Linked DNA regions of Notamacropus eugenii. The protein of the gene in region 2 binds, or shares a complex with, the protein of the main gene of each other region. Links are inferred from orthologs where the notes say so. Each region holds a gene or a part of one and is shown on either strand. Other genes may lie near its edges.

The links. Proteins that work in one complex are often made in the same cells at the same time.
Region 1: the proteins of PLEKHM2 (region 2) and ARL8B are in contact, whole or in part, in a crystal structure (PDB 8JCA), measured with the Homo sapiens proteins. The link is inferred for Notamacropus eugenii from reciprocal best matches to the Homo sapiens genes PLEKHM2 and ARL8B. Residues at the interface, in NP_055979.2 of Homo sapiens: His70, Phe71, Thr72, Arg73, Arg74, Glu75, Glu103, Ser105, Glu107, Ser108, Tyr109, Arg111, Leu112, Glu115, Glu147, Phe148; in NP_060654.1 of Homo sapiens: Glu22, Thr52, Val53, Gly54, Phe55, Asn56, Met57, Lys68, Trp70, Arg77, Phe78, Arg84, Tyr85, Arg87, Gly88, Val89.

Annotation. Positions count from the first base shown.
Region 1 is NC_092874.1:440,877,752-440,884,604, reverse strand, and holds the start of ARL8B (ADP-ribosylation factor-like protein 8B), read left to right. Parts: upstream 1-3,836; 5' UTR 3,837-4,090; coding exon 4,091-4,213; intron 4,214-6,853. UniProt on the Homo sapiens protein: Small GTPase which cycles between active GTP-bound and inactive GDP-bound states.
Region 2 is NC_092876.1:55,088,923-55,096,474, forward strand, and holds the start of PLEKHM2 (pleckstrin homology domain-containing family M member 2), read left to right. Parts: upstream 1-4,548; 5' UTR 4,549-4,719; coding exon 4,720-4,779; intron 4,780-7,552. UniProt on the Homo sapiens protein: Plays a role in lysosomes movement and localization at the cell periphery acting as an effector of ARL8B.

The sequences.
Region 1 (6,853 bases), on a different chromosome or scaffold from region 2:
TTTAAGAAAAAAAAGAACCAGGATTCTAGCATTAATTAAGAATTCATTTCCCTTAGTAGAATATAAATTCCTAGAGGGAAGCACCTGCTTATATCTGTGTAGTTAGTATAGGGGTGTTGAATTGAATGAATGATAGGATAGATTTAGAAAAGGTACTTCATAAATTGTTTAGTTCCAATCCCTTTGTCTTACACATGTGGAAACTTGGGCCTAGATAGGTTGGGTGACTTTCCTAATGTCTCACAGAAATCAAGCCAGGAGTTAAAAACAAAATTTTCTTTGGGGGGGAAGGCAAGTGGAGTTAAATGATTTGCTCAGGGTCACACAGCCAGCAAGTATCTGAGGTTGGATTTGAACTCAGGTCCTCCTGACTTCAGAGTTGGTACTGTATCCACTTCACCACCTAACTGCTCTGGGAGTCCCATGACTCTGAAACTAGAACTCTTCCCATGTACTACCTTTGGAGTACATGCAATAATACCAACAATTACAACAATTATAAAGCCCTTTAAAGTTTGCATGGTCTTTCCATACACTGTTTCATTCTGTCTTGTTCCTTTCTTTTAGGAACAAGGGCAAAGCCTTGGTACTTTGTGCCTTGTACTTTTCCTGAAGGAAAGACAAACTATATGTAAAACTGATTCTCATTTTCCTTAAAACAAATTCTATAGAGTGGTACCTCAAAATTTACTAAGATATTTCAGAAGGGAGTGAGTTCCTGGAATTACCCCAAAGTCTCAGGAGTTCTCCCCTGCAATCTTAATATGATTAATTTCTAAACTCCTGAATCTATCAAGATCTTTTTTTTTTTAGCAGTTCCACAACTTTGTCTGACTTTATTTCTGTGATTCCAACTTGACCAATGTTGAAATAACAGAAAAAAAAGTGACAGTTTTTTTTTTCTCTTTCTCTTTTGTTATAACCTAATCTCCCTCAGAAAGCTTAAAGTGGGAGGCTAGTCCTGCTTACTGGAATTTTTACTTCAAATATGAAAATTCATTCATTTCTCCCAATGTTCTAAACTCCCTGGCTACAGCCCTTATTAGTTTTTCTGGCTGGCTGCATTTTAAATCTTTCAAGGTAACAGAATCTAGCTCCCAACACAAACATTTTACAAACACAGAGACACAGGCACAGACAAAATGACAAGACAGATACAAACAGAACTGGTTCAGTAGAGGCATACAAGTTCCCCCCCTCCCCCACTGCATGCAGTTAGACACAAAGTTGCAATTTTATAGACACACAGAGAGGCCCTAATTTTACAAAGGCATGCAGAGAGGCCAGAGAGACCTGAAACAAATGGGGACACAGGAGGGGCCTTGAAGTTTTTCTCACAAAGAAAGGTGAATTCAATCAAAACTTGAGCCCAGAGGATTGGAGCAGGAACAAAGGTGGCAGATGAGGTGGGGGCGGGGGGAGGAAGTCAAACTCTGGAGAAATCTCTGGAGGCACCTAGTCAACTCCCGTTGGTACCAGAAAGTCCTCTTGGCCTGATTCCATCCAGTCCCACTTCTGACACAAATTAATCTCAACCAAACTGGAGCCTATCTCTAAACGGTGAGTGGTTGGGGCTGAGCAAAGCAGGATAAGGACAGGAGAGTCAGGGATCAAATGGAAGTTTAATTAATTTCAGAGTGAGGAAAATGCTTGCAAGCATAAGTCCACCTTCCTAAGAAGGAAAGCTTAACTTGCTGGGGCAGGGGTAGGGCTTATATACATGAAAACCACAAAGGGTCTGGACTACAACACAATCATTCTTAGGTCTTGAGTAAAATTCTCCCAACAGGCTTTTGGAAAGAGTTCCCAAGTTGATTGCCTCAAGGCTTGATGAGCCTTGAGGTCATTCAGTGGGGTACAAAACCAGAGTTAGCATGGCAGAAATAGGAATGCAGTATCTGCTTCAGTTCACTTGGCAGTTACAAGAAATAAGGATTGTGAGCATGTTAGCAGATGTGATGGAAGGCTTCAGATTGCAGCATGTCACTGGCTTCTGGCTCTCAGGTCCCTAGGAAATAGGGGGAAGCTCCAACAAATCTAAACAGTTACTGATTTACATGAAAATCATAAATCCCTCAGTGAACACCTGGTGTTGGTCAAAGTTGACAGAGGGTGAGATCATCCCTAGTATAAAAGATTGTTGTTATGCCAAGCTCAGGGCACAGCCTGCTCACTGGGCCTTGGCCTTGGGAAGCAGGGTGTCTCCACATATCTTGACAAGATCAATCACATGTTGTTGCCATAGCTCTTTAAAGTTTTCAAAGCATTTTCAAGATAACAACCCTATGAAGCTGAGAGTGCTATTTTGGAGGGGTTGGAATTGTTTTTTTGGTTTTTTTTTGAGTGGGTGGGGAGGAGAAAGGCTGAAGTGTGGAGTCCAGACCTGTGATTTTATCAGTTTCATACTCCTGGTGTGGAAACTCCTTCCCTTGGTACAAATCTGCAATTTTTTTGTAATCAAGCATCTTAGAGAGTTGTCTAGGAAATGGTTACATGTAGTCAGGATTTTTCAAAAGGCAGGACAGGACCTCAGGTCCTTACATGAAGACTTGTCCTCTACTCACTATGCTTTGCTAATTCTCAGTACAAACACAATCATTCCCCATTTTTACAAGGAAACTGAAGTTTTGTGAATTTATATGATTCTCCCATAATTACCTTGCTGGTAGGTAGGAGGGAGAGGTATATAGCCCTATCATTTAAAACCAGGGTAACATCCAGTCCGGTACATTTTAGTGGCAGCTAGGAGGTATAGTGGATAGAGCTTGGGCTCAAGAAGACTCGATTTAAATCCTGACTTAGACACTTATTAGCTGTGTGAGCGACTTTGGGCAAATCACTTAATCTCTTTCAACCTCAGTTTCCTCATCTGCAAGATGTGGATCATAATGGCACATAATGGATGGCTGTGAGAACTAAATGAAATAGTACATAACATAATTATGCAAATAATATATAATTTATAAATAATATATTATTATTTTATTTAATATTAATATACTATATATTACATATAATATATACAAATATAATACATAACTTCATAAATAACAAACGATACAACTTTGCAAACAAATAGTATATCAAATAACTTTGCAAATGATTAATAATACAATTTACAACTGCAAATAACAAATAGCATAACTTCGGGAACCTTAATGAACTCTATAAATACTAGCCTTTTTTTTTAATACTAAGAAAGTGCTGTGGGGAAAAGCACCGTATTGTTGTTTTTTCATTTCTTTGATGGTCTTTTTAAAATTCCATTTCTCCATAATATCTTTTATGAACAAGGAATTACTTGGGGGCACTTTATTTTTTTTCAGTTAAATACATATTTTTTTCTTTCCTTTGTCTTCCCTTCTCCACGCCCCCCCCCCCCCCATTCCCCAGCTCGTCCAGGAAAAAAATCGAAAAAGAAAACATTGTAACAAATATTCCTAGTCACCCTGGCCACACCCACCGGTGCCGCTAGGCAGGAATGCAATTTGCAACAATGTCTCCAAAGTTACTTAAGCGGCCGGCCTGGGACGCTGGCCGCAGGAACAGTCCTGGGCGGTTTTGCTGTCTGGACCTCCGCTGCCTTCTCCTCCTCCATCAGCTTAAGTCAACTGCAAGTCACGTCATCATCTGGATGTCACGGTCCTCTTCGAGAGCGAAGGACAAACACAAAAACACAACAAAAGGGAGCGGGGCAGGAACCAAGCGAGCGACCGCTCTCCCTGGGAGAGTTAGGATGGGATGATTGACAGGAGCTCGCGCTAGGACTCTCTCCGTGGGGCGGGACGGACCCGCAGAACGGCTTTCGGGCCTCCCGGGACGGGGCTGTCCGGCAGGGGGCGCTGTGGGCTCCGAGGCAGGCGCTCGGGCGCAGGCGTGCCGCTCTCTCCGTGCGTGCAGGCCGGCGGGGCGTGGAGGGGAGGCCGAGTCATATGACCGCTCTCTCGGCTTCCTGGCTCCGGCCGCCGCCGCCGCCGCCTCTGCGCGTCTCGCTGTGTGTGTCCCCGTCGGCGTCGCTCCCCGGGGCCGGCCGAGCCGTTGGCGTGGGGGGTCCGTGTCGCTCGCGTGGAAGCTGCCCGCCCCCGCCATCATGCTGGCGCTCATCTCCCGGCTCCTGGACTGGTTCCGCTCGCTCTTCTGGAAGGAGGAGATGGAGCTGACGTTGGTGGGGCTGCAGTACTCGGGCAAGACCACCTTCGTCAATGTCATCGCGGTGAGCGCCCCCCCCCCGGGGGAGGGGGAGGGGCGGACACACGCCAGGCCCCGGCGCCCAGTACTCAGTAGGCGCCTGCTGAATGCGGGTGGGGGCCCCAGCACTCCTGCACGGCCCGGCCCCCGCAGCCCTTTAATCCTCGCCCTCTGCTACTTGATGCCCGGGGTTGCCGTCCTCTCTGGGCCTGTGGGAGTGGGGGAGGGATGCTAGCTCTACTTGGATTAAGCGCCTACTGTGTGCCGTCCAGCTCCCGTGCAAAAGACGCTGCCCGCCGTCTAATGGGGAGGGGGCCGGGGCCGGTGCGAGCATCCTTGCACTAGCAGAACGCGGTGTATAGACGAGATCGAGACTGTAAATTGGAGTAATTAGCAGAGGGAGGGCACTAGCTTAAAGGGGGGGGGGGGAGTCGAGACATGCTCCTCGTAATAAAGGGGGGGTTTTAGCAGAACTTGAAGGGAGCCCGGAGTCCGAGATGAGGAGGGAGAGGATGGCAGTAAGAACGCTGGGTCAGTAAAGGCAGAGGTTTAAAGGTCTCCGCTTTCGTGGAAATTGGAAGATAAAAAAGTCTGCTGTAGGAAAAAAGATTGCTGAAGGAAGAGGGTGTGGGACCTGGGGGAGGAGGGAGCGTAGGTGGAGCCTGCTCATCCCTGGGTGGCCTCCCACTGCTCGGGTGGGTACCTCCAGGAGCAGCCTCTGGGAGGTAGTTACCTCTGAGCCGTCGTGTGTAGGAACGGAAGAATGCTGATTGTGAAGTTGATGATTTGGGGGTGGGGGGAAGGCAGAGGAATGAATGTTGGGCCCAGAAGTTGGGGTCATTGGATCCTAAGGGCCAGGTGCTTGAGCTTTGGGAGATTCTTGAAGGAAACAGTAGTAGACCTGGCACTTCTCAGCCGGCTTTAGAAATCGCCATTTGACAGGACGCAAGCTGCCCAACTGGTTTGGCAACAACAATGATTCAGTAGTTCCTCTCCTAGGTTGAAGAAGCTAGGTAACCTGTGACTCTTAATCATTCCTGTTGCCGGATTACTGCAAAGACTAACCCTTGGGGAATTCAGCAGCTAGCTGAAATTAAAGCATAGCCTTTCAGTATATGAAGGCAGTTCTTAGAACCCAAGAATTCGAGTTCCTTTGAGGGAATTACTATTGCCAGCAGGAGTAATGGTCACATTTTTTTAAAAGCTCATTTTATAGTGATAACAGTTACTTTTAAAATTTGAAATAATCATCGCTGTTTATTGTACACGTATATCTGTGTCTATATTGTACATACATATCTGTGTATTAATGCCATTCTATATCTATATATCTATATCTTGATGCCATTCAAATGAGTAAAGAGGAATAAACATTTAGGTTATTTAGAAGACTAATAGTTGCACAAAATTTAAGTGTGATGTAAAAAAAAAGATGAAGCTTTAGGCCAGCTGAAAATAGATTAATCCTTTTTTGGCTCTTTTGATCATCCTAACTTTGTTTCGATTGTAACAGATGAAAATTGGAGTTTACTTTGTAACCCTTTGCAGAAAGGCCTATTACTCATGTGGTACTTTTTTTGCCAAAGAAACAACAGCTAACTTTTGAAAGTCTTAAGAAAGCTTCTTATATCTCTGAAGATTTTTTTTTCTTTATGAATGCTGGTGATATTCTGTATAGGCATTTCATACAAAAGCAAGGCAATTTTAGAAAAAATATCCAGGGAATCGCTCCTTTTTCAGTTCTCAGTTGACTTTTTTTTTTTTTAGCCGATTGGTTGACCCTTAATGGTATCCTGTACTTTGATAGAAGAGCATTTTATAATATTTCAAAATCTCTTGAATGAGGTTGGAATTCTCCAAATAAAATTAATCAGTCGAATGCTTTCAGTGTTATACTATATAGTCTTTGGATACTATTGATATACAGTGTTCTGAGATAAAATGTGGCCTGTAACTTTAGCTCATACTAAAATTTTTTCTTTAAACAAGGAGACCTTATTAAACTTCATGTAAAGCATGAAACTTAATATCAAAAATTAATTTTAGAACTTTTATTTCAAAGGACAATTTCATATTAAAACAATTTATTTACTCTTTCAGACATATAAAAATAACTTTAGGAATCTATGTATGTTCTGTGATTTTTAATAAGTTGAATTTTTAGACTTTAGACTTAAATACAGATGTTTAGACCATAGTATGTCTTTAGTGAAAATTGAATGTTTAGTCTAATCCATCAATCCTGTATTAATTACTTGCTACTCACAAGACTTAAATGCTTTAGTTGAAGCTAATTATCATTTTGGAGTCATTAAACTTCCAGATCAACTTTTAGTTCAATAAAAATAATGTTGCTTTAATTGGTAATCCTTTAAATAAAATTATTTTTTTTTTTTGATAAAGGTGAAATGTTTATAAGCCTTATTATTGATTGTAAAGGCAGGGCATTAATATAGTTAGAGCAGAGTTTCTTAACTTTTTTTGTGTGTCATGGACCCCTTGGGTAGTTTGATGGAGCCTAGGGGATCCCTCCTCAGAGTTAGGTTTTTAAATGTGTAAAATAAAACACATAGGATTGCAAAGGGAAACAATTTGCATTGAAATACGTTTACTTAAAAAAAAACAAAAATAAGAAGTTAGACCTTAGGGTAAGAACCTCTGAGTT
Region 2 (7,552 bases):
CTCTCATGGGGTCTATTGGTTCCCTTTCATTGATGCAACTTCCAGTCCAAAGGATCACCTGGGAAAGTAAAGTGGGTGGAGCCTGTTTGTCATCTTTCCCTTCTGAATACGGCATTCTACGACTAATATTTTCCTGCTTTAATTTAAGAAGATTTTTTTCGCAATCAGATAATGAAAAAGAACTCTCACCCTTCCTGGAATTGGAGGCTATGGTTTGTCTAAAGCTCCAGTGTGAGGTGGTTAAGGAATTTTGATTCACGGAGACTCTTGACTCATAGTCTCATGCCCTCTGTACCCGCCCCCATCCCGACTTCACGTGATCTAAAGGACAACAAACCCATGCCAAAGGAGTAGGTTTCAGTGTCCCATTTCCAGCTGCTTCTAATATTAGGATTTCCCGACAGCCTCTGCTCAATATCCTTTTGTGTTCTGTGATGACAGCCATTCCCCTCTCTCCAATTTTTAAGGAGAGCTTATATATTTTTGATGTTTTGTTTTTATAATACATTTCCATATAATTCCCTTCCACATCCAGAAAGTCATCGTTTGTAACAGAATAAGTGAGAACAACGAATGCTTTTCAGCAAAATTAGCCGAACTTTCAACCAAATTGGATATTCTACACAATATCCCGTAGCCATAGTCCCCCACCTTTGCCAGAAAGGAGGGAGAGGTATGTTTTCTTACCTTTATTTTTCCTTTTTTAATAATAGATTTTATTGATATCTTGTTTTTATATCACCTAGATTTTTTTCTAAATCCTGACCCCAATAGGGTCATCCGTCTTAACATGAATTTTTTTTAAACAAGAGAAAAAAAATTAACAAACCAATCGACTAATTGGAAAAAATATGACATTTAAATGCAATACTCCATATGTGCCTATACCTCTGCAAAGGAGTAGGGGAAGGAGGGAAGTTGAGTACAAGACTTTTCTTTATATTTCTGCAAATTTAAGTAACTTTTTCTTTGGAGAGAAGTTTGGTCATCATAATGATATAACATTGAGTTTAGTCCTCCTTTCTCTGGTTGGAGTCATAGTGGATCTACTTATTTCACTTTGCATCAGTTCATGTAAGACTTTCTAGGTGTCTCTTGAGTTCTTACTACTCAACATTTCTTATGTGGTTGTGGATGTATAGCCACTCCCACTTGGTCCAAACCAGCCTGATGCTTGTGCAAGCTTGGCTGTTGTTGCCTGGTGATCTCATGCTTTGAGGGGGGGCTGTGCCCCCCAACCCCATGCAACTGGTCTATCCTCACAAATTCCTCTTCACCTTTGGGCAGAATGAATGTTCCTCAGGATCAAGAAATACTTAGGACACGTTTAGGCCTGTGGTTACCCCTGTAGGCTTGGGTGGAGTGAGAGGGGAGGGTCAGCCTCTTGAAGGGCTGAGGCTGTTAGCCAAGCTCTTTAAGCAGACTCACATGTCAGGGCCCCTTTAGATATCTGGGTGTGCGTTTTGTGATTTCAAAGGCAACGTAGTATAATAGATAAAAAGCTAGCCTTGGAATCAGGAAGATCTGGGTTTAAGTATTGACCCCCATGGGGCAGCTAGCACATAGAGCTCTGGGCCTGGAGTCAGGAAGACAACCTGAGTTCAGACACATCAGCTGTGTGACCCTAGGCATATCACTTCATCTGGTTAGCCTCAGTTTCCTCATCTGTAAAATGAGCTGGAAAAGGAAATGGCAATTCACTCCAGTATCTCTGCCAAGGAAACTCCAAATGGGGTCATGAAAAGTCAGTCACCACTCAACAACCCTGCCTCTAACATATACTGGCAATTTCACTCTGGGCAAGTCACTTAACTCTCAGTTGACCCAGAAAACTTGATAAGACCCTAAAATTGCAAAGTAGTTGTTGAGCTGCCTGGTACAAGAGGAGAGTTTCCCAGTGGGAATTCTTCATAGCAATCAACCAATCAACATGAAGTGCCTTCTAGTGCCAGACACTGTGCCCACTGGGCACACCAATGAAGTAACAGATCAGGTTCAAGGAAATCAAATATAATGTTTAAAAGTTTTCAAAATGTTTTCTCCACTACAACCCCACAAAGTGTTCAGTTCCTGCTTTGTACATGAGGAAATTGAGGGTCAGGTAGACTAAATGAAACAAAAAATCTGAGTACAATAAATATATAGCCCCTATCTGTGAAAGACTATGGTAGGTGCTGGGGAAATACCAAGTTATCTAAGACATGGTTTTTACTCTCAAGGAGTCAAAAGAAGGAAGCAGAGAGATGACTATAGACCACTATTACATGAGAAGCTTATTAGAGATTTTCAAAATAAAGAGCAATAATGAGGGAAGGTATGGTTGCATAGGAGGGGGAATCAGGGAAGGGCTTTCTGGAGGTGGCTTTGAGTTTGGCTTTAAAAGATGGTAGAAAATGACCAGGAGAGGAGCCCCAACTATGACTTTAATCCTAAAATAAAAATCCCTGTGAGAAACTGTCTACCCCAGCATCTCTCTTCCATTTCCCTGAAGTCCTCCTGGTGCCTAAATCATGAAAGTTTCCAGGACCGCTCTTTCAGAAACTAATGGGGAATGAGGCATGAGCTGTTTGCAGACAGGTGGTATGGGTAGCAGGCTGGATTTAAGTCAGATCTAGGTTAGAATTTTGCCAGAGTCAAATGCTATATGACCTTCACTTCCCTGATCCTGCTTACTCATCTGTAAAATAATACTTGGACTACTCACCTACCTCTAAGAATTGTTGTGAGGATGGCACTCAATAACTATTATTATTTCGTTCTAGGTGAGTGGTTTTCTCAGGTAGGGAGTTAGTGAGGGCTAGTGTTAGGAATCCGGGTGCTACCAGACAGGGGTAAAGGTAGCAGGGTGTCCCTTGAAACAGTATTAGGCAATCCATTCCTCGGTAGATCAGTGTCAAAGGAAATTTTCAAAGGAGAGATCCAAGTTATCAACAAGCATATGAAAACATGCTATAAATCACCAATTAAAGTTACAGAAATTAAAGAAGGGGGAGTGTGGGGAGTGGGGCTTGGGTTGGAGTCTACAAGGGCTGAGGAGGGGCTTCCAGGGTACCCGGGGGACGAATTGCTGGGCTTGGAGAGTACCCAAAGTGAAATGGGGGAGGGGGTCAGGAGGGACTGTGTAAGAATCTTACAGCAACAAGACTGAGGGGGGGAACCCGAGACAGCAGCTTAGGGGACTGTACAAGCTACAGAGAGGGGGTGAGAGGAGAGGGAGGGGACCCAATTCAGGGGAAGACCATGGGGCCTGGGAGAGGGGCCGAGGGCTCAGAGAATCCCGGGCGGATGCTAAGAGAGCCAGGAAGGTAGGAGTTTCCCTCGGAGGACGAGCAAGTCAATGACTGGGAGGTCAGAGGGTCCGGAGAGAAAATGCAGGGGCTGGGGTGGGTGCGGAGCAGGGCTAGGAGGCCAGGAGAAACCGTGGGAAGAACATGGGGGTCCTAGGATTTGAGCTGAGGAGCAGGTCACCCGGGGGAAACGACTACAGGGACCTGGAAGGTCAGTGTCCCGGGAGCAGTACCAAAGGGGCAGCTGGGCACAGAGTTCGTAGTGTCCTGAGGATCCGCGAGGAGGGGGTGGAGGGGCGGGTGCTAGGAGAGCTAGGAAGGTCACAGCGTCCCGGGAGCCGCTGGGGATCGAGGGCTTGAGGGGTCTTGGGAGCGTAGTTGGGAGTCCCTAGGCAGCCTAGGGGAGTGGGAGCCCCGGGGTCTAGGGTTCGGGTGCAAGGGGTGGGGGGAAAGCGTCCTAGATTTAGGGCCAAGAGGGTCCCAGGGTCTCAGGAGGGGATTTGGGGTCCCGTACAGACTAGGGCCTGGAAGCCCCAGGTTCCCGGGCGCAGGTCCAAGGCCCTGAGTGTCAGGAGCGTCCCAGGGTCCGGAGCGCAGGTTCAAGGGGGCCCGAGCAGCCGAGGTTGAGGGTCCCAGGAGAAGACTAAGGGGCCCCAAGTATTAGAAAGGTCCCAGGAGGGGAGCTGGGGTCCCGGACATCCTAGGAGAGTGGGAGCCCCCGGGTCCTGGGCGCAGATCTAGGGGCCCCGAGTGTCAGGAGGGTCCCTGGCGCGTATCTAGGGGGCCCGAGTGTCCGAGGCTGAGGGTCCCAGAAGAGGTGCTGGGGTCCTGGACACCTTAGGAGAGTGGGAGCCCCCGGGTCCCAGGCGCAGATCTAGGGGGCCCGAGAGTCGGAGGCTGAAGGTCCCAGGAAAGGAGCTAGGATCACGGACACCTTAGGAGAGTGGGAACCCCCGGGTCCCGGGCGCAGGTCCAAAGGGGCCCCAGTGTCAGGAGGGTCGCCAGGTCCCAGGCGCCCTGGGCCGCGGGTCGGGTCAGGATCCCGGGTCGCGGGTCCGGTCACGGGCAGGCTGGGCGGAGCCGAGCCGCCCCTCTCCTGACATCAGTTCCTGCTGCCCGGCGCGGCTCCTCCCCCGCCGCCGCCGCGGCCACCGCGCCTGCCCTCTCTCCCGGCCCGGCCCGGTCCCACGAGCCGCCTGCGCGGAGCCCCGGGCCCGGGGCGCGGGCGGCGCACGAAGCAGCGCAGGGCGGCGCGGGGCGGCCGCGCGGAGCCGCCACCACGGAGCCCCCGGGCGGCGGCTGGAGGCAGCGGGAGCCGGAGCCGGAGCCGGAGCAGCACCCGGAGCGGTTGGCGGCGGTGGCGGCCCGGCGCGGGAGGAGACGGCGAGGCGGCGGCGGCCCCGGCCCGGGCACTGGCAGCGCCTCCAGCACCATGGAGCCTGGCGAGGTGAAGGACCGCATCCTGGAGAACATCTCTCTGTCAGTGAAGAAGGTAAGGGCGCCTCCCACCCAGCCTTCGAGGCCCCTGCGGGCGGACCCCTCTAAAGCCAGCGTGCGACCCCCTAATCCCAACCCATTCCCCTCTTCCTCGAGCCTTGTGAGCCCGGGTCCTGCCAGGCCTCCCTCCATCCTCCAAGAAGTTCGAGGGGAGCCTAGCCCCACCTCCACCCCCAAACGCTTCTCCTTCCCAATGACATCACCCTGTCCCCTTCAGCCAGCTGGGGCGGGGGGCGGGAGAGGCTGGCTCCGCCCCTGTCCCCCCTTCCCAGCCCCCCACCCCCACCCGGCCTGTGGCCTGGAGGGGAGTAGACTCTCCTGAGCTCCCGAGGTCCTATTGGCCCTTTTGAAAGAGCAAAGCTGAGATCAGCCTCTTCAGAGTGTCGAAATGACAGCCTCAGGGGATGGACGGGTCACCCCCCACCCTCGCCCACCCCCAGGTCTCCTGATCCCTGGCAGCCAGTGGCACCCCTCAACTGGCTCGCTTGGCTTAGTGGGGGTGACTGACAAGATCCTCCTCTGTCTCCTGTCAAGCCCTTCCCAAGCCCAGTCTCATCCCCTGTGTGTGCCCAGTCTTGGGTGACTGCGTCTGGAAGGATTCTTGGTTCCAGTGCCAAGTCAGAGAACCGCCCCCCCCCCCCCCCGCCCCCCTTCTCATCCCACTGCTGGGCTCTGATGGGACTTCCCTAAATTCACCTTGCTGAATTGGCTCAGGGAGGTTCCCCTCTCGGGTGTATTTTAGGACATTTTTTGGAGGAGCACAAGGAGTGACCTGCGGTTGTGATTCATTAGAAAGTACCCTTTTCTGTCCTTTTTTCCTTCTATTTCCAGGTAGAACATTTATGGTCATGGATGATTTGGGGGGATGGAGTAGGTTACGCTGAAATGGGTCTGGGAGGACCAGCCGGTTTTAGTTTGGTAGTGAATGCTCCAGGGTGGTCTTCTTCCAAGGTCTTTCTACATCGACCTCCAGATTTGGTGACAGTTCCAAGAAGTAAGGAAATGAAACTGAAAAAAGGGTTAGTGGAGAAGAAAGAGAACATACACTGACCCTTATTTTCCCAGCCCCAAGTGACCGAAGTGCAGAAACATCTGGCATCTTTGGGCCAGGGAAAATGCCCTGGAGGTAGAGTGGCCGGACCATGGGCACTCATTCTGCCCCTATCACCTCTGTTTCCTCATTTATAAAATGAGGTTGGTTAGACAGAATGGCTCCTGCTAGGTTTGAATCTCTGAGTCTAGGAGGAGGAGTGAACAGCTCTTCCTTCTCTTAGACAGGGTGTGTTCTTCTCTCCACCCTTAAATTGCTTGAAAATTTAACTGGCAAAGATAATTGGGATTTCTTTTCTTAAAAAGCTGATTTCAGAATGAGCCATCAGTACTAATGGTGTTGTCATGTGTCACTTGTAAAAGTATGAGATCTGTTTCTTCATTTGTGAGATGAAGGATGGTTGTGAGGGTATCCAGTGAGATAATCTATGGAAAATGCTTTGCAAAACTTAAAATGCCATAAAAATGCTGGTTGTTTTCATTATTATTTAATCATAATTGCATTATTTATTCATATAAATAATAATATTGATTATTATTGCAGCAGCTAGATGGCACAGTGGATAGAACACTGGGCCTCGAGTCAGGAAGACCTGAGTTCAAATCCTGCCTAAGACATTTACCAGTTGTCTGCCTCAGTTTCCTCAACTGTGAGATGGAGATAATTTTAGCATCCATGTCCCGGGGTTATCGTGAGGATCAAATCAGATAGTATTTGTAAAAGCATTTAGCACAGCGTCTGGCACATAAATAAATGCTTATTTATTTCCCTTCTATGAAGAAGATGATGATGCTTGGCATATAGTAGGCACTATATAAATGTTTATTTCTTTCCCTTATATTATTAGTATTATGCCTGGCACGTAGTAGGTGCTATTAAAATGCTTATTCCCCTTTTATTATCCTTATGAATATTGTGCCTGGTATGAAATAGGTGCTATATATAATGAAAATGGCCCTCTTTAACGTTGTTATAATTATGATCATAATTATCTCACTGGTGAGGTTGGCCTCGTCCTGCTTGTCCTCAGAGGGCAGAACCTGGAGTAGTGGGCTGCCCCCAGGAGGTGAGGTGGGTTCCTTCTCTTTGGCAGTCTTCTAGGAGGGATTGGATGCCCTGTTGTCCAGGAGACTGAGGCAGCCTGTTGTAGCAGAAAGTCCTGGATTTCAAATCAAGAAGACTCTGCTCTCAGGACTCTTGCTGACCCTGTGACCCAGGTGGCAAAGACTCAGTTTCTTTATCTGTAAAATAGGGAACATCACAGCATGGGCCTCACAAGTTTTTCCTACTGGGTGAGGCCCCTCCTGGTGAGCTTAGGGGAGATGTGGGCAAGTGTCCAGTCAGGACGGGCCAGTCTGGATGGAGTGGGGTTTGTACTGTTGGATGGAGGGGTCCAGTTCTACTGACCTGCCCGATCTATTTGAGGGTTCTTATGATGATTGTTTTCTGTAGGTCCAGCTTGAACAAGGTGACCCCTGCATCCTTTCCAACCTGGATATTCCATGTTGTTTTTGGGTTTTTTTGTTTTGTATTACCCGTTTTGTATTTCTAAATGTAATGCCTGGTTTTTATAATGGTACGTGATTTTTGCTTGCCCAGGAAAGGCCGAAGGAACAAAGCACTCTGTTAAAAAGCAATAAATCTTTTGAATAGAAGAGAAGGGTGGACTGCTGACTTTTCTGATCTTATCTGTGCCAGTAGTGGCATCATTCCGGGA